Schizosaccharomyces pombe: one gene and its partners. The gene in region 2 interacts genetically with the main gene of each other region. Each region holds a gene or a part of one and is shown on either strand. Other genes may lie near its edges.

Region 1 (7,404 bases), on a different chromosome or scaffold from region 2:
GATGGCTTCTTCTCACGGATCTACTACAGCAACTGGTAGTGCTGGAGGGTTTTGGGGAGGTTTGTGGAACCCAAATGGTAATTGTGTAGTATGCTGGGGAAGAACTGGTGGATGGAGACTCTGGAAGCAAGATGCTGGGCAATGGCTCCAACTTCCATCTATTTCTGGTCACACAAAGTCAGTGAAAGGCGTTGCTTGGGATCCTGAAGGTAAATTCTATTTATCCGCCGGCACAGATCAAACTACTAGATTGTTTGCACGTTTTAAAAAGGATAATGCTTGGCATGAAATGGCTCGACCTCAGATCCATGGCTATGACTTAACCTCTATATCCTGTATGCCTTCTCGAATTGGATTTTTGAGCTGTGCCGATGAAAAGGTGTCTCGTGTTTTTAAATTCCCTAAAACAATTGTTAGACTTCTTTACCGTTTATGCGATACCAATATTGGGGAGGAAAGCTTACCTGATGCTGCAAATGTTCCTTTACTAGGTCTTTCTAATAAAGCTACCACTGCATCTGAAACTGGTACGGTAAATGCAGAAGAAGTTCAGACTCCTGTTGCTGATGTGATTGGTTCTTTGAACCATCCTCCTTTTGAAGAACACTTACAGCGTTTGCTATTGTTTCCGGAAGTTGAAAAATTATTCGGCCATGGTTATGAGGTTTATGCATGCGCCATATCTAATAATGGTAATATTGCCGCGACTTCTTGTAAATCACAAACCCCCGAACATGCTGTCATTCGGTTATACGAAACGCAGTCATGGAATCAGCAGCAAGTCCTTAAAGGTCATTCTTTGACGGTTACAACTATAAAGTTTTCACCTGATGACCGATACATTTTAAGTGCTGGGCGGGATCGGTTGGTGTGTTTGCATGAGCAAGCCGAAAATTTATTGGATTATAATAACTTTGCTTCTATAAAAGCGCATTCTCGTATTATTTGGGATGCTAGTTGGGCTCCCAAAGAAATGGGTTACTTTTTTGCGACTGCTTCGCGTGATAAATTCGTGAGTAATTTTTTATTTGATCAAATCTTGCTAACTATTTAGGTTAAATTTTGGAAAATCAATGACAATAAAAAAATATGTGATGTTGCTGCTCTCCAATTTTCTGATGCTGTTACCGCTGTTGACTTTGCTCCGTTCTTTCACAACGATGAACTCTTGCTTGCGGTAGGAACTGAAGCTGGTAAAATATTTATTTGGAGATGCCCGAGAGAGAATCTTACCAAATGGTACCCAACACGTTTACCAGACCACATGGCTCCTATGGAGTCAATTAACCAAATTTTATGGAAGCCCACTTTTGAAACTATGGGGTTGTATTCTCTTTTAATTGCTGGCGAAGATACCAGTGTACGACTTTTGAACGTTACGTTGGGATAAACTTGAAAATAAGTACAATTGGTAATGTTAGATTGGGTTGGCCTGTTTTAAACATACCTGAGGGGTGGTTAAAAATGCTTAGATAAATTATTTATTGTTATAATTGTCGATAAATAAAAGGAAGGTTAATGGGTTGTTAGGTTGGCATAATTAGTGCTGAATGGTAGACATTCATCAGATTGATTCATTACTTTAGTTGTTATATATATATATAAATATGTATTTTTAATTATTAGTATCAAAAACTTTGGTGTAGTAGTCTTCTCAATTAACTCAAACACAATTTTACATGTTAGAGAAAAAAACAACACATAAAAATTTTTTTTAAAAATAAATTATATTTAAAAGGTAGATAAGGCAAGATTTTAACTAAGAAGTATTTTCAAGCGTAATAGAATGCAAGTTGTAAATCTAACTAAGAACATTGATTACTTCTACGAAATTTAGTTTATTTTTTTTCCCTTTCTATTACTCGTTTACATTTATTGAAAGAACGGAGCAAGCTAGGAAGTAATTTATATTCAACTGAATGACTGCATTTTCGGTAGTGTCCAAAAGTAACACTTACCAACTCCAAACATCTATTTTGCAAACCTAAGTCTTAATAAAGATACTTTTTATTAAAGGCTATATTTTCTCAGGTTTGAATTTGTTGACTCAACGAGTTAATACTTATATACTCCGGCCTTGCTAAATCGATATTCTGTAAAGTTTGACAGTGTTGTATTTGCCTACAGGCTTAACGAGTAATTACTTATTATTTATTCAAAAAAGGGAGAAAAGGTACTAAGTACAACTTTTGAGTTTTAGAATTGGAGTTTTGGGAGAGCATTTGCTGTTTATTTATCTTATACGCTCCTTTAATTTTTGGCACCCCGGAGGAACATGAGCCAAGATCAAGAAGAAGACTACTCCAAACTTCCTCTAGAATCAAGAATAGTACATAAAGTATGGAAAGTGCGTCTATCTGCTTATGAAGAGTGCAGCAAATCGTTTTCACTTTCAGCAGATGGTTCGGATAATTGCTTTGAGCTTTGGAATAATCAGAGTGAATTGTGGAAATCAGTGCTGACTGATAGCAACGTAGCAGCTCAAGAAGCTGGTACCGCAGCGTTTGTAGCTTATTGCAGGTTTTCCGATCCTTCTCATTTACTTAAAGCTCGTGAAATATCAGTCCTTTCAATTTCAGAGAAATGCTTAACATCACCTCGCGCAGGTACAAGGGAAAATGCACTAGAAGCTCTTATGCTATTAGTTGAAGCAGATTCAGCTGCGCCAGTTATAGAATCAATCATTCCTTCTTTATCGGCTCGATCCCCGAAGGTAATAGCTTCTAATGTCGCTGCCATTGCTAGTCTAGTTGAGCAGTTTGGTGCTAAAGTTATTCCTTCAAAAATGATTATTCCACATATCTCCAACTTGTTTGGTCATGCTGATAAAAATGTTCGTAAGGAAGCATCTCGTTTAACTGTAAACATTTATCGGTGGACAGGGGATCCTTTAAAAGATTTACTATTTAAAGATCTAAGACCAGTTCAGACGAAAGAGCTTGAGTCTCTTTTTGCTGAGCTACCAACAGAGCCTCCCAAACAAACTCGTTTTTTGAAAAGTCAGCAACCTACATCAGAGCCGAATGTTGAAACACAGGTAGAAGAGCAACCTGCTCTCGAGAATGAAGAAAGTGAACCAGAACCGTCAGATGATCAATTTGATTTGGTAGAAGAAGTGGACGTTTTACCCAATGTGGATCCTAACCTGGAAACTTTAATGGCTTCTTCGAAATGGAAGGATCGTAAGGAAGCGTTAGACAAACTACTTCCTGTCTTATCTCAACCAAAGATCAAAGACAACGATTTTTTTAATTTAGTTGCTATTCTCACAAAGTCTGTTTCAAAAGACGCAAATATCATGGTGGTTATAAATGCTGCACACTGTATACAAGCGATGGCTAAAGGTTTACGCTCAAATTTTTCGAAGTATGCCTCAACATCTATTAATGCACTGTTGGAACGATCCAAAGAGAAAAAGGCTAATGTAATCGAATCACTATCTTCTGCGATGGATGCTGTTTTGGCTACATCCAGTTTGGATGACTTAGCCGAGCTCATTGCTAGCTTTGCCGGGAACAAAAATCCTCAAATCAAAAGCTCCTGCTTTAGTTTGTTCTCGAGATCTTTCAGTAATATGACATCCTTACCATCTAAGTTTACAGTTGATACCTGTGCTAAAGCATGCGTTCCTGGTGTTTCTGATACCTTTGAGCCGGTGCGTAGTGCGGCAGCAGAAGCCTTGGGTGTTTTGATGAAACTCGTTGGTGAAAGAGCCATTAATCAGTATTTAAGTCCGTTGGACGACATCAGGAAATCTAAAATTCGTTCTTTTTATGAAACAGCTACAGTAAAGGCTAAGGCACCTACAAAAAAGTCGAAAGTTAAACCTTCAAAACAAGAAGAATCAAAAGTCGTCGTACCTTCAAATGCTAAGGCTGTCAAGAAATCCGTTGTTCCTTCTAGTCCAGTTGTACCATCTCCACGAAAGGCAACTAACAAATCGCTTTCCATGGATGTATCAAAGGGTAATGCATTTGAGAATGGTCCTTTGTTACCAAGACCGACTACGAGGCCAGTTTCTCGAGGGCTTTCACGAGGCACATCTTCCAGTTTGCAACAAAAAGTAAAAGCTTCCACTCCTTTGAATTCGGGAGCACTTAACGAAACGGTGCAAAATTTGAAGAACATGGAGTTGGACGATCCGGCTCCTCAACCGGCTAAGCATTCACGAGTTGATCGTTATGAACACCCTAAAGTATTAGAAGACAATGACTCTACCATTTCGTCTTTAGAATCTCTGAAGAGAGAAAACGAGGAGTTACGAGAGCAGTTGAAAGTTGAACATGAAGAGAATATTTCTATGCAAAAACAACTCAGTGAATTGAAAGGTGAATTAAATACCTTACGCAGTGCCAGGAAAGCCTCACCAATAGGAGACAGAAAACCTGCATTTATGCGAAGAGCTAATACTGACTTTTTAGAGCTCTCTACGAGTCCCTCATTTCAACGTTCAGTGAGGGAATTTGAACCTACTAGACCTAAACTTTATAGCTCTATAGATGTGAATCAGAGATCCCCTTTAGCATCTGCGAAAACAAATGGTAATTTCACGTTTCATGCTGAATTACCAAGATCACCGTTTTCGTCAAGGGCCAATAATATCAATCCTGATTGGACTAAAGCCATTGATTTAGCTGCCAAACTAAAACAAAAAATTACTGAGATGAAACAAACAGACCAAAGACATCAGGGATTGATTCACTAGTTTTTAAATTCTTTCGTTTACATTCCAATGTCCCTTACTTCCCTTTCTATTTTTTAATGTTTTAGAATAATGATAATATCGGTTTACAAAAATAATAACAAAATACGTATTCTCGTTTATACCAAATTTCTTAAAATCAGATTTAACTATAGGTTAAAGATGGAGTCAAATGGTAACTCAAACACACAACACAAACAAACATATAAAATAAATAAAAGAATTTTAACGTACGAATTTATCGCATTAAACGTATTAGTGTCATTAAAAAAAGTAGTCTGTTTAATTTTGCATCACAAGTATACTGTATAGCCGTACCAAGTATAAACGAAAACCTCTTTTTAAAAAAATTAAACATAATAAAGAAATTGTTAGAAGAAAAAAAATAAAGATATGCGTAAAGTACAGACAGTCGAAAAAAGAGTAACAATCACATGAGTCTTTGCCCAATGAAAAGTTCTAAGCTTTGTTCAAAAAGTCCGGAGGACTGATGTTGCTAAAGTAGTCCAAAGAAGCGGTGGAAGGAGTATCGGCATCACCATCATCGTCCTCCAGGTAGAAATAAGAATCACGATAAGGGGAATAAGGCGGTAAATGGGACAATTCCGACTCTAATTTCCTATGAAACAGATATATAGGAAGCTTAAAATCCAAGGAATCTAGCCACTCATTTAGTTTTTTCGCATTTTTTCGAGAGTATTTAGATAAATTTGGTAGGGAGGCTTCGGAAGGAGAGGCTAAAGATTGCTTTACGCTGTTTTCAGTATCGCCATGCCAGCTTCCAGAAAGCGAAGAAGATGATGATGAGGGTCTTTTCATAGAAAATAGTGAATTAGATTTAGCTTTGTGAGTCCGAAGGAATGGGGGAGCGAGTTTTCGGGATAAAGAGGAGGGTTCACGAGAGTGAATTGATACATAAATTGAATGTCGCACAAGGAGGTGTGGATTTTCTGTACAGCTTCCGTGAATTAAGTCGTTCACAGGAATTGTGAACTCAACTCTTGAATGGAGGCCAGGAACAATAGGTGGAGACCACTTACCATCCTCAAAAAGGACAGTAATGGAGTTTCGAAAAGCATCATTAAAAAGAAAAAAGGTAATGCTTTGGACAAGAAGCACTCGTATATAATAGCGTTTTAACTTCTTTTCGACTACAGGAGACGAGGTACGAGATAATGAAGAGCGTCCTTTCATATCACAATCATTACTCAAACGTGGTAACCGATCTTGAAAGATAAATTGAGAATCTTGGGAGTTAATAGCAATGGGATCTATATGGGGATCATCTGTTCCAGCAGAACCTGGGGTAGATGACAGTACATCTGCATCTTCGGACTCCAAATCAATTAAAAGTGGGCAAACACAGCCTGGTCCTTTATAGCACTGTTGAGGATATTTAAAGAACGCAGTTAGAAATGAATACTTTGAAGACTTCATTGATAGCGAAGTAAAACACGCATCGTTTAGGGGCGCTCCATAACGTATGTGCTGAGATTCAGGAATTCGATCGGGATTGAGAGTAAAAGGTACAACTACAGGAACATTGGCTGACTTTGGCATACGACAATCATCTTCAGTATACAATTTAACCGTTAATTTGTAAGAAATCGAACCTTCTTGAGTCACAATCGTTCGTGGGGTGCACCTAGGAAGTGGAGCAATGATATCAAACGTATAGAAAACTCCTTCCTTTACTTTGAAATTATTTCCAAGATCCCAGTCGATATGATTGAAATGACACTCCAGCGGTAACTGTCTCTCAGTAGGAAACTTTTTCAGACCAGTAAAGCTTGCAGTAAGGTATTTACAATAAAATGTATCAGTTGTCACAAAGTACACCTTGTATTTAAGGATAGAACAAGGATGCTGAACTTCTTGAAAGGTGTCAGAAACCGCTCCTAAAATATGTATTTTGTCTCTCGAATTGTCCATGTAAATTAAGGGCAGAGACAATCAAGGGCACCAAAAAAGAGACATTTCAACGTCAAGCTTAACCTTACAATCCTTTAACAAAGAATTGAAAAGAATACTTGGCAATTTATAGTTTTCGTAAATTAAATGGAGGAGATGTTGTACGAGATATGTCATTTAAATGAGAGGGTCATAACAATGAAATAACGAAGCTTCAGTATAATTAGTTCTATCGTTATCATTCACCATATGAGCGGCGTTAGCTATCATTATACAATGAGTGCTCTTTAGTAACGTTGGGCATGAGACTGATACTCACAATATGACATGCAAGTTAATCCTTTATTCCAAAATAAAACTTAATAAAAAGCATGAAGCCCAAATGAACTCTCATTCTTCCATTAGGTCGATAAAAGTTATTATTATATTTATAATGGTATACTCTATAGCCCTAGTCATACTAAGGATAGCAAAGTAATATTACCTCCATTATATTATACATTACAAAGAAATGCCGACACAGTTTTTCGTATCCTTACAGAGAGTGCAAAAGACATACTAATTACTGTTGCTAAGCTCCATATTTCTGATACTGAGGCACAACGAAGTTTTCACTTAACTTTAATGAAATTTATCATCTCGTAAAATGGAATGTAAATACAGGTGAACGGGTAAGGAAGTATTAGCTTTTCAGTTGTTTGAGTAAAAAAATAATTTTCAAATACATGAATTATGTTGGTAAATAAACAATCTTATTCAGCACCTCCTAAAGCAAGTAGACGCGGAGTTAA
Region 2 (8,801 bases):
AACGACATTTAGGAAATATTGTCTAGTGAGTTCGTTTAAAGAAAGCAAGAAACGGTTATTGATGAGTAAAAGGATATTTTGGAAAAGATATTGAATGGCAACAAAACATCTAATTTACAGACATCAAAATAAGCGAAATGACTAGGATATATATCCTACGTTAGATAAATAAAATAGCTTAAAAGGATGTATAACAGATAAAGGAAATTTTTATTCTGGATAAAAAAGATTGTCAAAGAGGAGTGATTAAATAAAATTGACAATCGTCTCCACCATGGTACGAACATCGGCCGCGGCAGCGATACCAACTTCCAAAACCTCCAAGTGATTTGCAGCACCCTTAGACATGACATTCGAATCAACCTCCACTAAGTCTTTGGCAGAGGGGCTCTCTTCAACAACAACGTTGTTGGTAACCAAAGAAATGGCAAGAACACGAATACCACAATGACGCGCAACGACTACTTCGGGAACCGTAGACATGCCGACACAATCAGCTCCCATAAGAGCAAGCATTCGACTTTCAGCGCGAGTCTCAAAACACGGACCAGATACAAATGCATAACAACCTTCGTGAATTGTACGGCTAACCTTGTGAGCCTTGGCAGCATCGTAAACCAATTTTCGTAATTCTAAATCATAAGCATCCGATAATGGGGGGAAACGTACACCAAATTCGTGTGCATTAGGGCCTCTGAGAGGGTTCATGCCCGCGAGGCCAGGAAAATTGATGTGATCTTTAAGAATCATCAAATCACCAACTTTGAAACCTTGATTCAAGCCGCCAGCTGCGTTGGTAACAACCATGACTTCAACGCCCATGACTTTCATAAGACGAACAGGAAACGTGGTAGCTTCTATAGGATATCCCTCATAAGAGTGGTAACGACCAGCCAAAATCATAGTGGGAACGCGTTTCTCGCCCAAAAAGGCAAAGTACAATTTGGATGCGTGACCTGGAACATGGGAAACATGAAAGTGAGGAATATCTTCATAAGGAACTTCATAAACTGGAGCCGACAATCCAGAGGCTAATGTGCCCAAACCGCTACCGCAAATGATGGCAACTTTGGGCTTGGAAAGCTCTTCGGGGACTTGTTCAATGATGTATTCACGAGCCTCAAGCGCTTTAATGTAAGGTTCAGTATGATGGGGTTGCTGTTTTGCCTGGTGAAGAAAAGATGTAGCAGTCATTGTTGTTACAGAAGAGTTTCGAAAAAAAAAACAGAAATTTTGTATAAAAAAAGAAAGCAAGAACTAATATCTAAAAGGGAATTCTTTATCTTTAATATTTATTAGGCGTATTAGTAGCCAGGAAAAAGAATTTAAGGAATTTTAAAAATATGCAGTGGTGGGTAAATAGGGCCGATAGAATCAGTGTTAATTTGTTTTGAAAATTAGATGGGAAAATCGATAGCAATAACAATACTAACTGAAATACAAACAATAGAATGCACAGAGTTTTGAATAATGTGCAAGCAAAGACGAAGAGCTGGGAGTATCTTGGCAATTGACCTTTATAGAATATCAAAACAAAATAGTAAAAAATAAATAGAAAACGACGATTTTTTGGCACACACTTGATGCTATGCTTAATTTAATTTTGTTTTGTTTTTGTTTTTTGCTGAATATATGTGTAATAAAATTAATATTAGCCGTGAGAACAGAGTAATTGGAAAACACAGAATTGAATCCAACAATTGTTACAGGGAATTAAGTAAGAAATGGTCTATATAAATACTTCTACAAATGTTATTACTTCAACATATCACAGAAAAGCAGAAACCGGTATTACAAAAAGTCACCGAAATACATAATTTATATACGGGCTTTGGCAAACAAATGCGATATTTAGGACAGTGCTGGTCGGATGAAAGCGCCTATCAATTCAAATTTTCTTCGTGCTTGATAAGGAAATGTTGCAGATAAGAATAATGAAAAAGAAGAAAAAAAAAGAATAAACAAAAGCAAAATGTTCAACAAATTTGAAAAAAATTTAGTTCAACTGTAAATCAAAAACACGTTAATTTTACATTTAAAAATGTAAAATATAATGCGGCCAGAGAGGTTCGAACTCTCGCGTTTTACAACAGCAGGGATCAAGGCAGAAGCCTCTTAAATCTGCCCCCTTAGACCACTCGGGCATAGCCGCTTAATTGTACAAACTAATTAAATAGAGGTATATATCTATAAAAATAGTTGCGTGTACTGTAAATTGTCTGGGTTTATTAGAGTATATGTACACAACCTGACTAAAATCGTATAAATTAGTTAAAAAAAATGCATTGGATTTTTTATACCTTGAGAGCCATGCCAACTCCAAAGGTCAATATTTGGTTTAATGATTTTTTTTTCCTTCCCTTTTCTTTATTTAACACACTAAATGTCGGGTAACTGCGAGTTAATAACGAACATGATCAGTTTAATTCAATTTTCATTCTTTTCTATTTCCATATAGAATTGTGGCTGTAACCGCGAAGCATTTCATACGGAAAGTCGCCTTTATTTACATAAGCAACATCTTTGTTGTGTGGCTATAGGAGTTAAAGCAAAAAAGGCGAATTACTAAAGCACAATGAAATGGCAAATCTTTAGTAATAAGTATATTATTTCGTGCCGATGTTCCATAAACTTGGTTAAAATAATTTGGAAACATGATTCTAGCTGTAATTCAATTTTTTTAAATTCATAACAATTTTTAATTTACTGAATGATAAACTTTCCTTCTGTTTTGATTTACTCGTTGACTTGTAAATTGATAATTAAACCATAAAATACCTAATAATTCATAATAAAAAAATTTAAAAAAATAAATTGATGTTTTTCAAATGACCTGTCTTTGCTAAATACTTCAAAACAAACAAACAGAAAAATCCACGTACGACACATTTATTTCTGGTTTAAACGCGGACGTTACGATCAAATTCTTACCGCATTTCTCCCATTCACGGAAACGACCGAACGTCTTACCGGAGGAAGTAAATTTTGTTTCAAAACTAATACCATTTTTTTAAAAAATTGCAATCTGCTGATACACTCAGTTTTATCGCCATCATTCTCGTTCCATTTTATGTTTACTTCATTCCCATCAATTTCTGCCTATAATCACGTTGTTAAATTTCCTTAAAATAGATAACGCAAAACGATTGGATACGCTGCATGCTTGCTATTCTTCTTCGTGTTTCTTTGCCAGCCTTGCGGCCACACCTTTTACCTCCAACACAACACTTGTTCTTTTGCATTTCTACCCTGGGACGTTAGGCAGTAGCCTTTAACTGTATACATTCTTTCATTCTCTTGTTTCCATTGAGTACAAGACAAATTTCTATCGCGTGAAGCATCTCTTGGGACGAGGAATTTCGTTATAAACAAGAGAATTTGGAATATTTATTTGGTTTTTATTTATAGTAAGGAGGTAAGCACTTTGAACGCTCGTGTAGATACGTGTTATTTTCCTTGGTCTTCTTTTAGGAAGGATCTTGTTATCTTTCGATTTCCTGTTCTTCGATCTCTTGTTTGAGTTAATTATTGTTTTTTCTCTATTATTTTTGCAAGGGAGGAGTAATTAATCAGCAAGTAGGAGATTAAAAATTTATATTATTTTGTTTCTATTCGATAAAATTAATTTTTCTTCTACTTTTTTTTATTTTTTTTTTCAAATTTCTAACTTGATTGCTGAAGTCCTTTATACATATACAATCGCATAAGGTTGAGGTAATTATCCTTTTCTTTTTACTTAAGACATTTGTTCAATACGTTGCCAACCATCAATTTACATTTTTTGCTTTTTGATTTGTAAATATGGAGGGCATCCTGGCATTCGATCGCGAATTAGACGTTGCCCTTTTGGATCGTGTTGTCCAAACCTTTTACCAAGGTGTCGGTGCAGAGCAACAACAGGCTCAACAAGTCCTGACCCAATTTCAGGCACATCCAGATGCATGGTCGCAGGCTTACTCCATCTTGGAAAAATCAGAATATCCCCAAACTAAATATATCGCTCTTTCCGTCCTTGACAAGCTTATCACCACTCGTTGGAAAATGCTTCCCAAGGAGCAGCGATTGGGAATTCGCAATTATATTGTTGCTGTTATGATAAAGAACTCGTCAGACGAAACTGTCCTGCAACAACAAAAAACTTTTCTTAATAAATTGGACCTCACTCTCGTTCAGATTCTTAAACAAGAATGGCCTCATAATTGGCCCAACTTCATCCCGGAAATTGTCCAAGCCAGTAAAACAAACCTTTCACTTTGTGAAAATAACATGATAGTCCTTCGTCTTCTGAGTGAAGAAATTTTTGATTACTCAGCTGAGCAAATGACTCAGCTCAAAACCAAAAATTTAAAAAACCAAATGTGTGGCGAATTCGCCGAGATTTTTCAACTATGCTCACAAATTCTCGAACGTGCGCAAAAACCTAGCCTAATCAAGGCTACCTTGGGAACACTTCTCCGATTTTTGAATTGGATACCCCTTGGCTATATATTTGAAACAAACATTGTTGAGTTAATTACAAATCGATTCCTAAATGTTCCTGATTTTAGAAACGTTACCATTGAATGTCTTACCGAAATAGCTAGTCTTACTTCTCAACCTCAGTACAACGATAAATTTGTTACAATGTTTAACCTTGTGATGACCTCTGTTAATTCTATGCTTCCTTTACAAACTGATTTTCGTGAGGCTTATGAAGAAAGTAGCACAAACGAGCAAGACTTTATCCAAAATTTGGCTCTCTTCCTTTGCGCTTTCTTTAGCTCTCATCTTCGACCATTAGAAAATCCTGAAAATCAAGAAGTCCTTCTTAATGCTCATTCCTACCTTCTTAATATCTCGCGAATTAACGAGCGAGAAATTTTCAAGATCTGCCTGGAATATTGGTCAAAATTAGTAGCTCAGCTTTATGAAGAAATGCAGCAAATCCCCATGTCTGAAATGAATCCATTACTTAATCTTTCTAGTCCTACATCTCTCATTTCTTCTAATCCTAATATGTTAGCCAATCTTCCTTTAAGGAAACATATCTATAAAGATATACTTTCAACTCTTCGATTGGTTATGATTGAAAACATGGTCAAGCCCGAAGAAGTCCTCATCGTCGAAAATGACGAAGGTGAAATTGTTCGTGAATTTGTTAAAGAGACGGATACAATTACCCTTTATAAATCTATGCGTGAGGTTCTTGTGTACCTCACTCACTTGGACGTGGTTGATACTGAAATCGTTATGACTGAAAAACTTGCACGTATTGTTGTTGGTACAGAATGGTCTTGGCAAAATTTGAATACTCTTTGTTGGGCAATCGGCTCAATATCCGGTGCTATGAATGAAGAAATGGAAAAGCGCTTTCTTGTTAACGTGATTAAAGATTTATTGGGCCTTTGTGAAATGAAACGTGGCAAAGATAATAAGGCTGTTGTTGCCTCTAACATTATGTACGTTGTAGGTCAATATCCTCGCTTTTTAAAAGCTCATTGGAAATTTCTCAAGACCGTCGTCAATAAGCTATTTGAGTTTATGCACGAATATCATGAAGGTGTTCAGGATATGGCTTGTGATACATTCATTAAGATTGCTCAAAAATGTCGTCGCCATTTTGTTGCTCAACAACTGGGAGAAACGGAGCCGTTTATCAACGAAATTATTCGTAACTTGGCCAAGACGACTGAAGATTTAACTCCTCAACAGACTCATACTTTTTATGAGGCGTGCGGTTATATGATTTCTGCTCAACCTCAAAAACATCTTCAAGAACGTCTCATTTTTGACCTTATGGCGTTACCCAATCAGGCCTGGGAAAATATTGTCGCTCAGGCTGCACAAAACGCTCAAGTTTTAGGGGACCCTCAGACCGTTAAAATATTAGCAAATGTTCTAAAGACAAACGTTGCTGCATGTACTTCTATTGGTTCCGGTTTCTATCCTCAAATTGCTAAAAATTATGTAGATATGCTTGGTCTTTACAAGGCTGTTAGCGGTTTAATATCAGAAGTGGTTGCTGCCCAAGGAAATATTGCTACCAAAACTCCCCACGTCAGGGGATTACGAACTATCAAAAAAGAAATTTTGAAATTAGTAGATGCTTATATAAGTCGAGCGGAAGATTTGGAGTTGGTCGGAAATACTCTCATTCCTGCGCTTTTCGAAGCAGTGTTGCTTGATTATTTACAAAATGTTCCTGACGCTCGTGATGCCGAAGTTCTTAATTTGATAACCACCATTGTCAATCAACTTAGCGAACTCCTTACTGATAAGATTCCTCTTGTTCTTGATGCTGTTTTTGGATGCACCCTTGAAATGATTAGTAAAGATTTTTCGGAATACCCCGAACATCGTGCAGCATTTTTTCAACTTTTACGCGCCATTAACTTGAATTGTTTCCCCGCTTTGCTCAACATCCCGGCACCACAATTCAAACTAGTGATCAATAGTATTGTATGGTCCTTTAAGCATGTTAGTCGCGACATTCAAGAAACCGGACTTAACATCTTACTTGAACTTATTAATAACATGGCGAGTATGGGACCTGATGTTTCAAATGCATTTTTCCAAACTTATTATATTAGCTTACTACAAGATATATTGTATGTTTTGACTGACTCTGATCACAAATCTGGCTTTAAGCTTCAAAGCTTAATTTTGGCTCGGCTTTTCTATCTGGTTGAATCAAACCAGATTACTGTACCTCTCTACGATCCTTCTCAATTCCCCCAGGAAATGAACAATCAATTATTTTTAAGACAGTATATCATGAATCTACTAGTCACAGCTTTCCCCCATCTTCAACCTATCCAAATCCAAGAATTTGTACAGACAGTGCTAGCTCTTAATCAGGACAGCATCAAATTTAAACTTGCTTTACGTGACTTTTTAATTCAATTGAAAGAATTCGGCGGGGATAACGCTGAACTTTACTTGGAGGAGAAAGAACAAGAGTTGGCTGCTCAACAAAAAGCCCAACTGGAGAAAGCTATGACTGTTCCTGGTATGATCAAACCTGTCGATATGCCTACTATGGAGGAGGAAGAACTATGATATTCTTCAGCAAAAACGTATTTAAGCTTAGAACTTTAAAATATGAAAGGAATTATATATTTGGTATCTTTTACTATTGACTTAATTGTGGATGTTATTTATCCCTGTTACTTGAGAAGTTTACTTAATTCCTTTTTTTTCTTTTTTTTTTTTTTGAAAAGCAAGAAGGGTTTTTGACATGACATGGCCCGTAATTCAACGTGTTAGATAGCAAAATGATGGCGCCAGTTGTTATTGATTGCAATTCAAACTATATAAAAAAGTAATAAAAAAGCATAAAGTCTTTAGAGATTCAACTTTCCGTGCAGTGTTGTAAATTAGAAAATTAAAGCATTGTAAGGATTTGGGTTGCCTCATTTTTTATACTGTTTATAAATTGAACGAGCAGCTATACTTGAATAACACTATGAAGTCTCGTGTAAGAGATCTCAATGCGACGTTGAAGTCCTTTTTATTGAATGCTGGCGTTATGCAACCTTGCTAAAGGAAACACCAACGTATTTTCACATAACTACGTTTTTGCTTCTAGAAAATGTATTATTACCTTTAATAAATTATGTAGCTACTACTATTCCGTTAGAGAATACGGTAAGAAAGAAAAACGAAAACATTAAACATAAATCAAACTTACAACTACAAATATGACTATTCGTGTAGTAATTTGGAATAAAAAAAATTCCAAATTACAAAACATCACCTAACTAAAACCTTTTTGAGAATTCCGTAATTTACCATGTGAACTTTCGTCTCTTCTGACTTTGTCTAATAAACAGACAATCAGACCCAAAACCTGAATACTAAAATTCAACTTCTTCACGCAAATTAGAGGAGATGTAGTTCAATGCTAAGGTACTCGACATTCCCCAAATACCCACTCGCCATCCACGATACAAACCTTCTATTCCAAATTTACCCGGATCTTCTTCGCTTAAAAGACACCATATGGTACCGACGATACCAGTGTATTTGCCTACGGGAACGATAGTTTGGGGTGGAAGGTTGCATTCATACTGGGCTTGTGCTCTTCGAAGTACCATTTCTAAAGGGCATTTGAGAAGAAATTGAACGGCTGAAGTGCCCAAGCCAACCATTGCATCAAGTGTAGGAGATGAGCCCAAAAAGTTGCGGAATGTTAGTGGAAGCACACTCGAAACAAATGGTGGTAAGCTGACATAACAAACTGTGGGTAAAATTAACGATGAAGGGCAGTAAAAAGGCAATGCTTTCAAGCATTGTCTGATAGTAAGAGGTTTAAATTTTTTATGCGAATTGCCAGAAGTTTCAGAAGCTGAAGACAAATAGGAAGATGAGGAAATGGGGAAAAGAATTATTTTTGTTCTGGCAATATCAAGGGGAGATAGAATAAGAGCAGAGATCGCAGAAGTAATGGATTTGATGAAAAGGGAAAGAAGAGGCCGAACAGAATCTATAGGTGAAATAATGTTTGGATCTGCTATTGCGAGAGCTCCAGATAATGTTGCCGAAAGCCAGGACTGTAGGCCGGAATAAAGTAAGTTATGCAAAAAGCTGATTGTATGACCTTTCCATAAACCCCTAGCTCCTTCTTTCTCCCATAGCTCACTAATGATACTTTTAATCGAAAATCTTTTCGAATGAATTGTATAGCTTCTCTCGATGAGATTCGAAGGATCAGTTACATAGCCAGACGCATCGACGCAAAGTTTCTCAGCTAGCTGTTCTGTTACTGCCTTTTCTGTGGTAGGTGTTTCAAAGTAAGCATAGATTTCGTGTTCATCATCACT
Region 3 (6,642 bases), 2.2 Mb from region 2:
TTTTGCACCACCGATAGGGATTAAATTGACAATTTTCATTACGCCAGGTTCAAATCGAATAGCAGTACCTGACGGAATGTCCAAGCGCTTTCCATAAGCCTTTGAGCGATCGAAGCATAGTTTTTCATTAGTTTCAATAAAATGATAGTGTGATCCAACTTGAATTGGCCTGTCACCCATGTTTCGTACCTCGATGGGAGTACGAGGTAAATTAGGCAATAGTTCAATCTCGCCCTCCAAGACTTCAACAAAACCAGGGCTATTTTCCGGAGCATATAACTTTTCCTCTTCCAGAGGGAACAGTTCTTGGCTTGGCGTGGGCAGGAAGCTTCCATATAAAGCATGTTCGAGATTACCATCTGTAGTGCAAATGGGATCATGAATGGTAATTAGATAGGTTCCATCAGGGAAAGTAGCTTCAATCATAATTTCATGTAACAAATGAACGACATTGGGCTGAACATGGCGTTTACCCAGCATATCTTTACCAAGACTCATCAAATCTGCTACGGAATGATTACCGTCGCGAACATATTCTTGAATTTGAGATGCAATAAGTGAAGTAGCCTCTAACTTGTTAAGCTTTACCCCTCTACACAGCCTTTTTTGGGCTAAAGATCCCAGCTGGTGAAGCGTTAATTTGTGTAGCTCTCTGGGTTGCATAGTTGGAACAACGCTAGAGTGATATCTCCGATACGCTTCCTTTCACTTTATCGATATAATTTTACACTTTCCGACTAAGGATTTGTAAATTAGTTCGTGTTGAGACGTTTATCGGTAAGTTGCTGAAGGATGCATTTAATCTAACCACCATATATCTTATCTTAGTCTAACAGGCAGGGTGCGCCGATTGTACGCAACTAACAAGAAGAAACTAAGGTAATGTAACGAAAAGCTAAGCATGAAGTTGAATTGGTGTCAAAAAAAGCATAACTATGAAGTTTACAAAAGTTGGCACGTAGCAGTTCGCTTGAGCACTTATTCAAGTAAAAGGAAAGGGAAATAAGTATTGTTTATTTTTTGTGCACGAACTGATGTCGACCATTTCTCGATAATTAGTATACTTATTATTCCAGTCTATATTTGAGTATAGTATGTTGTGTTTACACGCAGCAAATTATATCATCGCATGAAAATTATATGACCAAAACCCATTTTTAAAATATTAATTAGATCTATTAAAAAAATCATTATCTACCATAAAACGCTCATAATGTATATGCGAGACAAAAAAAACATAGTAACGAGACCACCAACTTTTGAATTTACATCTCGATGAACCATGAAAGGAAAAAATAGGGCAGGTGTAAGATAAAAGAAAACGTCTATACGAAATTTAATTTTGTCAAATCCTCAACTTTTGTAATTAACATCTGCACTATATTGTTCCGTCCATATATCCTCGAAACAACCTTTATATTGATAAGATGGCTTTTAGGAGAGGAAACAAGTTTTTGTATGCTATTATAGATCAAAGTCAGTATCGTCCGGACGAGGGCGTTTATCAAACACCATGTAATCGATTCCGTCGCTACTTGACATGCGACTAGCACGTTTAAAAGACTTTGATACACTGGGCGTTCCTGCATCTAATTGAAAAAGGATATTCGAGCACCTTTCGATGAAGCGGTCAAGGGAATACTTCATTTCATCTATCCTTTTGGAATCGAGAAATCTTTCAAGTGCCCAAGATACATGTAAAGTCTGAGTTTTTGCATTAATTTTTCCCACTAAAATTTGATTCATCATGGCCTGCATGATATAATATTCGACCGTGAAGGTAGGATCAGAGGGAGGAAGCCGATCTAACTGTAGATGAACCAATATGGTTTCAAATGAGACGGAACTTCCAACATGTCTATTAGCCAAATCGATAAGTGTAAGAAGTCGAAGTTTTTTGAAACGCAATTCATTCCATTCAGATGAGGCATCTCTGATATCTCCTCTGCAGAATATCTCGAGTGTCCTTAGAACGGCGCTGTCTATAGGCTGTGATTTCTGGACCTCTTGGCACTCAATCCATAATTCCTGAAAGCAAAATACATTCGGATCGTCAATCGCCTGTGAAATCTTTTCTTCCATGACAAGAGATATTGTAAATGTGATGGTTAATGATGTGCCACAATATTATTAAAACGTGCAAAGGAAGCCACAATCAAAAGTATTCGTGTGTATTTTCAAATAATGGCCCTTCAGTAATCAAAGGAACATAAAAAGGGATGCAAAAGTTCTCCTAATATCTTTACTTTGAGACTTATGCGTGGGACCCTGCAAAAACAAGAATGGTCCTTAAAATCCAAATTTCATAAAAAAATCTCTATTTTTTCTAAACAAATTATATATCTATATAAAAGAAAAGAAAAATGTCGCTTTTTCCAAGTTCAGTGTTATGAAGTTCGGTGGTTTGTTTACATTGCTTACTTTTGTTATAGTATGGGACTGTAAGGTCAAATAACGTAACAGACCGCAGGGACCATAGATGTTGCCTCGCCCTTCCTCCCACGCTTTTGCTCATAATGGTATGCTAGTCATCCCATTTACCTCTGTTCGTAGCTGCTGCACGATGCAATATGTAGGACGAGCGTTTGACTCTGTTACGAAGACGTGGAATGCAATTAATCCAGTAAGTTCTCAATAATTAGAAATGATGGGTTAAACAATTGAACAAATATGCTAACAGTGTTCGTAAATAGTCGACTCTCTCTGGAGCCATTGACGTGATTGTGGTTGAGCAAGAGGATAAAACATTAGCATGTTCACCTTTTCATGTTCGCTTTGGAAAGTTTAGCTTGCTTTTGCCCTCAGACAAAAAGGTTGAATTTTCGGTCAATGGTCAATTGACTGGGTTTAATATGAAACTTGGGGATGGAGGTGAAGCGTTCTTTGTATTTGCTACTGAGAATGCAGTTCCACGAGAACTTCAAACATCTCCCATTGTGTCGCCTACCACTTCGCCAAAGCAAACACCATCCATTGTATGTACAAAAGTAAACTGGGGCTGACTTGTCCGGTGGAAAACAGTTATGTGCAATATTTTAATGAATACGGTATCAGAATTCTGCACAACTACTTTCGGCTTTTAGTTTATCTCAATCACGAAAATTACTAACAGTCTTGCTTTAGAATGTCACTGAGCCTCAAGATCTCGAGCTCGATAAAGTATCTCAGGATCATGAGAAAGATCAATCGAATACCTATTTGATGGAGGACGGTTACGAGTTCCCTCTTACTCGAGATTTAATTCGCCGTTCGAAATCCGATGCCGATCAAACACCTCCAACCGGCTTTAAGCACCTTCGACATTCGAGTTGTTTGGAAATGGCTGGAAGTGATAGAACTCCGTCGATGCCTGCAACAACGCTAGCAGACTTACGATTGTTACAAAAGGCAAAGGAATTGGGGAAAAGGCTTTCTGGGAAAGAACTTCCTACACGTGTTGGGGATAATGGTGATGTGATGCTTGACATGACAGGTTATAAATCTTCTGCTGCGAATATAAACATTGCAGAGTTGGCACGGGAAACATTCAAGGATGAATTTCCCATGATTGAAAAGCTTCTGCGTGAAGATGAAGAAGGTAATCTGTGGTTTCACGCTTCTGAAGATGCCAAAAAGTTTGCGGAGGTCTATGGACACAGTCCTCCTGCAAGTCCATCTCGCACTCCTGCGTCTCCAAAGTCCGATTCGGCTTTAATGGATGAGGACTCTGATTTAAGCCGTCGACACTCTTTATCTGAACAGTCTTTGAGCCCAGTTTCCGAGTCATATCCTCAATATGCTAAAACCCTTCGTTTAACCTCTGATCAGCTTCGTTCATTAAATTTGAAGCCCGGTAAAAATGAGCTTTCCTTTGGAGTCAACGGGGGTAAGGCCATTTGCACTGCTAATCTTTTTTTTTGGAAACACAACGATCCTGTCGTTATATCGGACATTGATGGAACAATTACCAAATCTGATGCTCTAGGGCATATGTTTACCTTGATCGGCAAGGATTGGACTCATGCTGGAGTTGCCAAATTGTATACCGATATCACTAACAACGGCTACAAAATTATGTATTTAACTAGTCGTTCGGTAGGCCAAGCCGATTCTACTCGACATTATCTCCGGAATATTGAACAGAACGGATACTCTCTACCCGATGGTCCTGTTATTTTATCACCTGATCGCACTATGGCTGCTCTTCATAGAGAAGTAATTTTAAGGAAGCCAGAAGTATTTAAAATGGCTTGTTTGCGTGATCTTTGTAATATTTTCGCCTTACCTGTTCCTCGAACACCATTTTACGCCGGCTTTGGCAATCGTATTACAGACGCAATATCTTATAACCATGTCAGAGTTCCACCAACTAGGATTTTTACCATTAATTCTGCTGGCGAAGTCCATATTGAACTGTTGCAGCGAAGCGGTCACCGAAGTAGTTATGTTTACATGAATGAGCTTGTCGATCATTTCTTCCCTCCCATCGAGGTTAGCACCCGAGATGAAGTCTCAAGCTTTACTGATGTGAATTTTTGGAGATCTCCTTTGCTTGAACTTAGCGATGAAGAAGAAGACGATACTAATAAAAGCACATCCAAGTCGCCCAAAACACCCAAAAATACGAAATTCGGATATCAAGAATTCGAGGGGATTGACGAGGAAGATGCTCAAGATTATTCTCCTAGTCCATTGATTAAGTCTTTCAATGAATTAATGTTTGAAGGTGAAGAAGATGAAGAAGGAGAAGAAGACGTTGAAAATGCTGTTTGAAGTTGCATTTTCCCAATTTCCGATGAAAAAAAAATTACTCGACTGTCCATCTTTTTTTTTAATGCCCCAAAATCTTAAAATCACTTTGACGAATTTCCGTCGGCTTTGAAATGCACTAATAAGCTTAGAAAGTTACATAAATCATATAATGACTTACTTACTCATTCACAAGTAATGAGTTTTGAGAAAGTGCTAAATATTTTTTTTATATTTAAATGCGCTCTTCCTAAAAATTAAAGATAACAAGATACTTCATAATGAAAAGTTACGAATAAATCACATTCTAAAATCCTAAGTCTGCAGATTCAAAACCTAATATTTAAATGTAATTTAACTATTAAAGTAGAATCATATTATTAGTAAAGATTACAAAAATGTATAGACTAGTATATTAGTCTTTTTATCATGCTGCACAATAAAAGACTTTTAGTAAACACATAATTGAGGTAATATAGCAGTAAATTTAAATGAATCTTTAAAAAAATTTAAGGAAGTCATAAACAAACAGGAATCAAAAGGTATTAACAGTATTACGTGAAACCCACTTTGCAGAAGAAGAATTTAGAAAGGAGAAGGTTTCGCTATTTTGCTAGCTTTTTGCTAAAAAGAGTGTTAATAAAGACAATTAAAAAAATAATAATAGTAAATTTTTCACAATCAAAATCAGTAGATAGAAATAAGAAAATCATGAAAGTACAACAGTTTACATACGCGCTCATTTTTAAATTTAGAAGTTTTCTTCAATGATTCCGAAAGTTTTAAACGCCTATTTTCCAAAATCTCATCCCTCTTTCGTTCACTAATTTTTCCTTTAGGATTCAGAAGACCTTTCAAAATATGGCGTGTAGAATCTTTCTGCCATGACATTTGTTGGGGGAGTAAATTATCCAGATTCTGAAGCCTGGCCTCTTTATATATTTCAGCTTGCCTTCTATTGGAATAGTAAGGGTTGATTACAAGGCCATTCTGAGGATTTCGAGTTGCGAGAAACGGATTTTGACGATTTGGATTTGTCGTCCATGCATTTGGATTTTCAGGCGGAAACTTTTTAAAAAAGTTTCCTAATTGGATAGGAAGCCGTTCCAAAGCTTCCTTGGTAAAGACTGGCATGATAAGGTTAAAACCTCTTTAATCTATAGAGAAGCTCAAAAAGACAGTGAGTCAAGCACTATTAGTATTAGAAAATACATTGACCTAAGATGTCGGCAAACGTTTAACTGCGCTATATTACGTTAAATCAATCATTACTGTTCATTCTTGAGTTCTTAATCGAAACTTTTCATCGTTTGAAATATTAAAAGAGTTTATTATCTCAGACAATTCTAAGCCAATTTATTGACTATTAGCGTTTATTAGGTCGGACTAATTCTTAGTTACTCAATTTAGTTCCAATGGATATACTAATTAATATAATATTACGGTGTAGCAGTACTATAGTTAATAAATACAAAATTATCCAGGGTATTATTTTATACAAATATAAAAATCACTAACATATTTCGTTATTATGTATATCGTTGTTAAATTAGCAACTATACAAACTCCTTAAAATATTTTACATACTGCGTAGATGGCTTCCTCTCGCATTAGTCCCTCTACCTTAGGCATCTTTGTTGGGTTGCGTTATTTAATTATTGAAGGCTGACAGTATGTGTGATTGTGTTCCGCCAACGTAGCATTCAAACGCTTTCAATCATTATCGTTTTTAGTTGTGATTGCTTCTATGATTCCATCAAATGAGGCCCGTTCAAGTAAGCTGTGTGTGGTTATAGAGTTTCTGATGCCAGTAAAATTATCATATCAGATCATGTACGGATTCCTACTGACACATGTTGAGAGTAAGCAAAAAAAGCTCAATCATGCTTATTTTGAGTATTTTAAAACATAAAT
Region 4 (7,593 bases), on a different chromosome or scaffold from region 2:
ATTTCTTGAATTCTTAATGATATTGCGATATGTAGCTTAATGCAATTGATATATAATTCATTGTAAATTTGGAAGAATATCAGATAAACGAGAAAGGTGAAACCATTCCCTATACAAGCTGTTATACCCCTACAAGTACTTTGCAACAATCCTCTCCCGTCAACAACAAATAAACAAAAAAAAAAAAAAAAGGAAGCTTAAATGTTGAAATACGATTACTCTACTTTTACAATTACATCACGTTCTTTGTGCTAGCTTGTTGTTCATAAACATAACATATATTAAAATATATATATACGAATTCGTCTTTTCCTCTCCACGCTTCTTATTCGTCCTTTTCGTTACTTTCTCTCATTTCAACATCTCCTTCCTCCTCAACTTCGCCATCAGAACCTTCTTGTGTTATGTGCGAAATCACAATCACCCCTTCATTCACCAAACGGTCGTACAACGCATGCAAAAATAATTCAGCTCCACTAGCACTTTGCACTTGCTCTAAACTCAAGTTGCAAATTTCACGCAACGACTCTGACTCGGGTTTTGCAACTGCCTCCATTAAACTCGACAAGTGCTTAAAAAAATCTCGATTTTCGCTCAACTCTGCACGACCGCTGATGCGCAAAAGGTCGGAAGGAGAATGTGGGAAAATCTTGGGATACACTCTAGGATGTGTAATCACACGATGAGATTCTCTGTCAATGGAGAAAGGCTCGACAAACGTCGTTTCATTCAAAATCAAGGGCTGAAGTTGCTCTAATAATTCCAACGTACGTGAATGAGTATAATCGATGTTTTCATCCAAAGGGGAGGCCGTTGCCTCCTCGTGATCTTCGCCATTCTCACCAGCTGTAGCATGTGGTCCATTCAAATTCGACTCACTTGACGCACGATACATGTTTGCTGACTCGTTAACGTTAGGAAATCTTGGCAGGATAGCCGGTGCTTCGGCTGTAGGTGATAAAACTTCCCAGTTAAAGTCTTGCAGAGCATCTTGGCTTGCTGCACCAAACAGTTGCAGCAGTTGGCTGGTTGATGAATCATCCGTACCTCTACTGCTAGAATTATTATGTGAGTTGATAGTCCGAGTCGTATTCACAGGGTCAGCAATTAATTGATTGATTAAGGAAGCTGTTTCCTTGTCTTTTTCATCACTATACTCCTGCATCCAGTAAAAATGAATCTGCGAAGAGGATTTAAATTTTAGTGCATATACGCGTCCCGTGGTACATTCATCAATTTTGATAAACTCTGCTTCTTCTGGAAATATGATGTAGTCCTTCATTATATGTTAGTAAACATAAACCAAATTAAAAAAAAAAAAACGCAAAAGTAAATTTATATATATAAATAGGTATACTTTGCAATTGATTTAAATTGTCTTCATACATCTTCTACTTCTCTAGAAACCCTGGCCCTTTCTTTCCAATAGAAATGCAATAATTCATCAGAAGCCATTTGCATATAGATAACTCTAAACAAATGTCAGTATTAAAAATCAGATCTTTTAACTTTATAAACAGAAAACAATTCCACAAAACCCAACAGTGTGGATTTTCACGCATCCTTCCAACGTAAACATGCAAAGAAGCTTCATAAACAATTCTTTGGGTAGAATTTCGTTTTCCCAGTAGAAAGGACTACTATCTATATTATTATTATAGTACATACCCTTTTCGGTGATCAGCTTGCAGAATATTCGTTCCTGGCTTTCTTTGAAGTTTTCCAGCTTTTACGGAGACTAATCCATACTTTCCTCTCTCGCTAGTCTCGTTTCTTACTCTTCCAAAAACTGATTCCATTTGTAATTTATTTTTTGTCAACTCAAAAGCTCACGATTATTGACCTTGTGAATTGTTGTGGTATAGTTGAGTATGCAGTGTACACAGTGCAAGTGAGCAAAGTAATCCACACAAACGTATCATGTCTATAGACATGATTTCTCAAAATCATTTAATTTTCTAATTGTCGCCACTATAATCATCTTTTATCATGTAATAGACAATCTTTTTAGGTGGTTAACTGCTCTAATATTTGAAGCTGATTTATCAAGCCGCATTTGATGGTTTCGCCTAAAAAGATGTTTTAATAGCAAATTAATACTACACTTTAAAAGGAAAAGGAACGTTCCACTATGCAGTGGAATTCATCTCTTAAAGGGCCTTGAAAAGACATAAGCCAATTTTTGTATCATCGTTAATGGCATCAATAGTAAAACAGAATAAACCAGTTTTCACCAATTATACATAGAAGAAAATCAAGATACAATAAATGTCTATAATCCTTTCAGGTTTTGAAGAGCAAAACATAATCGAGAAAAAGTATGCGTCCTACACAATGGTATTTCACTAGAAATAATAGAAAAATACATTCATACACTATTTGAAATTCACACCATATAACTCATAATATACAGACTTAAGTTTTTTTTATTAGAGACAGTCCAGTAGTCGAATGGTCAAATGAACTCTACAAATGGTTAATATAATAACAACTCAGGTATTCAATATGAGAGAAAATTCAAAATAAACCTTATTTTAAGAAATATTATTAGTAAAATTACTAAATCACCATCTGCCCTCTTCAATTAGCGTCAAATCACAGTTAATAGATTCGACCTTCAAATACAACTGGTAGTTCCAAATTGCAAAAACGATCATCTCAAAATGTTAAACTAGCATAACGTTTAATTAAAGCAATGTAATCCTTTATTTCAACATTCTTTTCATATTTCTCTTCATTCGTCCAAAAAAATAGAATATCACTTAAAAGGAAGTAAGTCAATAACAAATTCATAATACCTTATTTATGATAACAAATTTGCTTTAATTGATCCTAATATCTAGTGTCGCAAAGTTTTTTAGTTTACATTTTCATAGTCAATTACTGGTAGCTTGATGATCAATGGAGAATATGACAAATTGTTAAAAAATTATACAAATTTCCAATTATTTAAATCTTTGCTATGCTATTTATCTCTTCATTGTTGTATGTTTATGAGTAGTTACTCTACTCCCTTACACTGTCTTTCTACACCCACCACGAGTCATGTCCTCTAGTCAGCAAAGTGGCAGAGCCAATGAGTTGAGGACTCCTGGAAGAGCTAACAGCTCTTCAAGAGAAGCAGTGGATTCTTCTCCGTTATTTTTTCCTGCTTCGTCTCCTGGTTCTACACGCCTTACAACACCGAGGACTACAGCGCGTACACCTCTCGCTTCCTCTCCTTTACTGTTTGAATCTAGTTCACCAGGTCCAAACATTCCTCAGAGTTCACGTTCTCATCTTTTATCTCAGCGTAATGACTTGTTCCTTGACAGTAGTTCGCAGAGAACACCGCGCTCGACAAGACGTGGAGACATCCATTCTAGCGTGCAAATGTCTACCCCATCTCGTCGAAGAGAAGTTGACCCTCAACGTCCCGGGGTAAGCACTCCTAGTAGCTTGTTGTTTTCTGGGTCAGATGCACTCACGTTTAGTCAGGCGCACCCAAGCAGTGAAGTAGCTGATGACACTGTCCGTGTCATTTGGGGAACAAATGTATCTATTCAAGAAAGTATCGCTTCCTTTCGTGGATTTCTACGTGGGTTTAAGAAAAAGTATCGACCTGAATACAGAAATGAACTTATGCCACCTCCTGATGCCGAACAACTAGTGTATATTGAAGCGCTACGAAACATGCGTATTATGGGTTTGGAAATATTAAATCTTGATGTTCAGGATTTAAAGCATTATCCCCCAACCAAGAAGCTATATCACCAGCTTTACTCATACCCTCAAGAAATCATTCCTATCATGGATCAAACCATTAAAGACGTTATGCTAGACTTGTTAGGAACTAATCCTCCCGAAGATGTTCTTAATGACATTGAGCTTAAAATTTACAAAATTCGTCCTTTTAATCTTGAAAAATGCATTAATATGCGTGATCTTAATCCTGGTGACATTGACAAATTGATCTCTATTAAAGGTCTGGTACTTAGGTGTACACCTGTAATACCCGACATGAAGCAAGCATTTTTTCGATGTTCAGTTTGTGGTCATTGTGTTACCGTGGAAATCGATAGAGGGCGAATTGCTGAGCCCATAAAATGCCCTAGAGAAGTCTGTGGTGCTACAAATGCAATGCAGCTAATTCATAATCGTTCTGAATTCGCCGATAAGCAAGTTATTAAACTCCAAGAGACACCTGACGTGGTACCGGATGGCCAAACCCCACACTCTGTAAGTCTGTGCGTATATGATGAACTGGTTGACTCTGCTAGAGCAGGAGATCGTATAGAAGTCACTGGGATTTTTCGCTGTGTACCAGTTCGTTTGAACCCTCGCATGCGTACTGTAAAATCATTATTTAAAACTTATGTCGACGTTGTTCACATAAAAAAGCAGGACAAACGTCGTTTGGGTACGGATCCTTCTACGTTGGAAAGCGATATTGCTGAAGATGCTGCTTTACAAATTGATGAAGTACGGAAAATATCAGACGAAGAAGTGGAAAAAATTCAACAAGTTTCAAAGCGGGACGATATATACGATATTCTTTCCCGGTCTCTGGCACCTAGCATTTACGAAATGGATGATGTTAAAAAGGGGCTTTTGCTACAGCTATTTGGTGGAACGAACAAGTCTTTTCATAAAGGCGCAAGTCCGAGATATCGTGGAGACATAAATATCTTGATGTGTGGTGATCCATCTACGTCTAAGTCTCAAATTTTGAAGTATGTCCATAAGATAGCACCCAGAGGTGTTTACACTAGTGGCAAGGGTTCATCTGCTGTTGGTTTAACTGCCTATATTACTCGTGACCAAGACACGAAGCAACTAGTCTTGGAAAGTGGTGCTTTGGTACTGTCAGATGGGGGCATTTGCTGCATTGATGAGTTTGACAAAATGTCCGATGCTACACGTTCTATTCTTCATGAAGTTATGGAGCAGCAAACCGTTACAGTTGCCAAGGCTGGCATTATTACTACTTTGAACGCTAGGACTTCTATTTTAGCTAGTGCAAATCCAATTGGAAGCAAATACAATCCAGACTTGCCTGTCACCAAAAATATTGATCTTCCGCCTACTCTCTTATCTAGATTTGATTTGGTGTATTTAATATTAGACCGCGTGGATGAAACGCTGGATAGGAAGCTCGCAAATCATATTGTTTCTATGTACATGGAAGATACTCCTGAACATGCTACAGATATGGAGGTCTTTAGTGTGGAATTTTTGACAAGCTATATCACATATGCTAGAAATAATATTAATCCTGTCATTAGTGAAGAGGCAGCAAAGGAACTAGTGAATGCTTATGTTGGTATGCGAAAGCTTGGGGAGGATGTGCGAGCATCTGAGAAAAGAATTACTGCTACAACAAGACAACTGGAATCAATGATTCGTCTATCTGAGGCCCATGCGAAAATGCATCTTCGCAACGTTGTTGAGGTAGGAGATGTTCTTGAAGCTGCTCGCTTGATTAAGACCGCTATTAAGGATTATGCAACTGATCCTGCAACAGGAAAGATTTCTCTTGACCTAATTTATGTTAATGAAAGAGAGACTTTGGTACCTGAAGATATGGTCAAAGAACTGGCGAATTTAATTTCAAATTTAACTGTGGGTGGAAAAACTATGTTGGTCAGTCAATTGTTAACTCGGTTTCGTGAGCAGAGTTCTACTCGCTTAGATGCTTCTGATTTCGAAGCTTGTCTGGGTGCTTTGGAAAGGCGAGGACGTATTAAGGTTATTACCAGTGCTGGACATCGCATTGTACGTTCAATTGCACAGACTGATTAATTTTTTAGCGAATAAGCTGGTATTATTCATGAGCCATAAACCATAGGTCGTTGTTGAAAATCAAAGACTACAGAGCATAATACGAATGTCTTTCTTGTTATATATACACACGTTCTTTTTGTTATAAAAATATTTTACATATTTATCGAGGGATCCTTAACATTCATTTTTCTTTTTTTTTTCGGCTTTTGAGTATGAACTGAACAATGAGTAAACATTATGAATATAAATTCGTTAATACCAAAGTTGAAATAATAATAATAATAATAATTAACATAAACTTTCAAAAAACTAACAGATATCTAAACAATCGTAACCAATAATTCGCCATGATTCGTAGAGGCAGTGTGTGCCTAATTTTAAGTATTTTCAACAGTAGTCAGATGTCATTAAAAGAAAAATGGATAGCAATTTAACCATCAATGTCTGCAGAAAATTCTCTGCAATAGGAATTATCTGTAATATCAAATTTATCGTCACTTGTATCCTTAACATCACTCAAGCTTGGTTTTCTAGAAAAGGGCTTTTGACGCTCACGCACATTCCAATTGAATTTATCTTCTAATACCTTGGTCCATTGGTATCCTGGATTTTGAATGGTTGTGAAAGGGTAATGAGACGTAACAATTGATAAATAGTCGCCTCTATGCATCTCCACAGATTCATGACGGTCAACGGAAAAGAATGCACTACTTCGAGAATCCAAAGGGATCTCAACGTTCAAAACATTGTAATCTGGTAAAATAATAGGACGGAAAGAAAGCGTATGAGGACAAACTGGTGTTACTAAAATCGCATTTAGTGCAGGATGTACCAGAGAACCACCAGCATTCGCTGAGATGTTGGTGGATCCTGTAGGAGTAGCTACAACAAGTCCATCAGCTTGAACCACAGTCATAAGTTCGGAATTGTTGTAAACATTCAAGTTACTAATAAATGGATGTTCTCCTCTACTAATGAGTATTTCATCAAGAGAGTATGTTGTGGAAGCCAAAGAATACTGCTTAGTTTTTTCATCGTATTTATGAAAAGAGCACTGAAGCCGCGAACAAAACCTGAGTGACACGTTTTGAGTTAAGACCTGATACAAATGCTGCTGATAGTTAGATAAACTAAAATGAGTCAAAAAACCAGGGACATCATCATCGGAAAAGGAAAGAACAGGTGGCCCAATTTTTTGAAATAACCACGATGTGTACAATAATGTAGAGTTGTCGCCAATTGTTATAGCTAAGTCAAAAATACTTGGTTTAATCAAACAAATATACGGATTCCAATACTTGATCCGGTCAATGTCGGTATTTGCTTCTTTAGCGATGTTATGAGCAGAGAAGCGCTTGGAACGAGCTAGTCTCATATCCACATATACCTTGGTTTCCGGTGTTCCGATTGTGAGTATATATTTTGTGATTTCTGCCGTCTTGTAAACTAACGAATGCTTTCGAGGTTTCGTTACAACTAGTATATTCTTTGGTTCCAAGGCAAAGGAGCCATTCGCAACCTCATTATACATAAGCCTGGAAGCAACCACATTCTCTATATGCATCGCAGAGGAATTAGAAGTCCTAGATTCTTGATGAAGCTCACCAAAGGGAGGATGAGCGGGTGAAGGGAGGTTAGAAGTTGCCAATTCTCCAACCGGTGTATTTAGGCCCGACAAATCAAACTGCATTGAGGAATTCGACAAGCTGTCAGCACTGCATTGTCGAAAATGAAGATTTTTTTTCTTCAGCTTGTTTATTTCCTCAACTTTGGTAGCCATTCTGATTTTCTAAAACGAAATACCAAGCTTATCCTACGATGTTCGCTGCA

Evidence for each region.
Region 1: of crm1 (region 2) and alp14, changing one suppresses a phenotype caused by changing the other (phenotypic suppression), as found in Schizosaccharomyces pombe (one study listed by BioGRID).
Region 3: of crm1 (region 2) and ned1, changing one suppresses a phenotype caused by changing the other (phenotypic suppression), as found in Schizosaccharomyces pombe (one study listed by BioGRID).
Region 4: of crm1 (region 2) and mcm4, changing one suppresses a phenotype caused by changing the other (phenotypic suppression), as found in Schizosaccharomyces pombe (one study listed by BioGRID).

What each region holds. Positions count from the first base shown.
Region 1 is NC_003421.2:1,009,487-1,016,890, forward strand, and holds alp14 (microtubule polymerase alp14), read left to right. Parts: upstream 1-1,956; 5' UTR 1,957-2,275; coding exon 2,276-4,705; 3' UTR 4,706-4,828; downstream 4,829-7,404. Other genes in the region: elongator complex subunit Elp2, read left to right, coding at 1-1,012, 1,055-1,390; SPOM_SPCC895.08C (uncharacterized protein), read right to left, coding at 5,162-6,634. UniProt on the Schizosaccharomyces pombe protein: Required for bipolar spindle formation and proper chromosome segregation. Has a role in connecting the kinetochores and the plus end of pole to chromosome microtubules. Also required for the activation of the spindle checkpoint pathway.
Region 2 is NC_003424.3:2,800,707-2,809,507, forward strand, and holds crm1 (karyopherin/importin beta family nuclear export signal receptor Crm1), read left to right. Parts: upstream 1-3,217; 5' UTR 3,218-3,415; intron 3,416-3,681; 5' UTR 3,682-3,801; coding exon 3,802-7,038; 3' UTR 7,039-7,547; downstream 7,548-8,801. Other genes in the region: SPOM_SPAC1805.16C (purine nucleoside phosphorylase), read right to left, coding at 247-1,194; transport protein Ugo1, read right to left, coding at 7,836-8,801.
Region 3 is NC_003424.3:4,988,583-4,995,224, forward strand, and holds ned1 (lipin, phosphatidate phosphatase Ned1), read left to right. Parts: upstream 1-2,545; 5' UTR 2,546-2,563; coding exon 2,564-2,623; intron 2,624-2,693; coding exon 2,694-2,975; intron 2,976-3,123; coding exon 3,124-4,752; 3' UTR 4,753-5,047; downstream 5,048-6,642. Other genes in the region: nickel-dependent urease Ure2, read right to left, coding at 1-663; csn71 (COP9/signalosome complex subunit 7a), read right to left, coding at 1,465-2,082; mrpl25 (mitochondrial 54S ribosomal protein mL59), read right to left, coding at 5,314-5,352, 5,464-5,862. UniProt on the Schizosaccharomyces pombe protein: May have a role in the maintenance of the nuclear envelope structure and in minichromosome stability.
Region 4 is NC_003421.2:897,357-904,949, forward strand, and holds mcm4 (MCM complex subunit Mcm4/Cdc21), read left to right. Parts: upstream 1-3,031; 5' UTR 3,032-3,045; coding exon 3,046-5,781; 3' UTR 5,782-6,069; downstream 6,070-7,593. Other genes in the region: 19S proteasome regulatory subunit rpn1302, read right to left, coding at 326-1,276, 1,387-1,471, 1,669-1,799; SPOM_SPCC24B10.02C (NAD/NADH kinase), read right to left, coding at 6,194-7,543. UniProt on the Schizosaccharomyces pombe protein: Acts as a component of the mcm2-7 complex (mcm complex) which is the putative replicative helicase essential for 'once per cell cycle' DNA replication initiation and elongation in eukaryotic cells.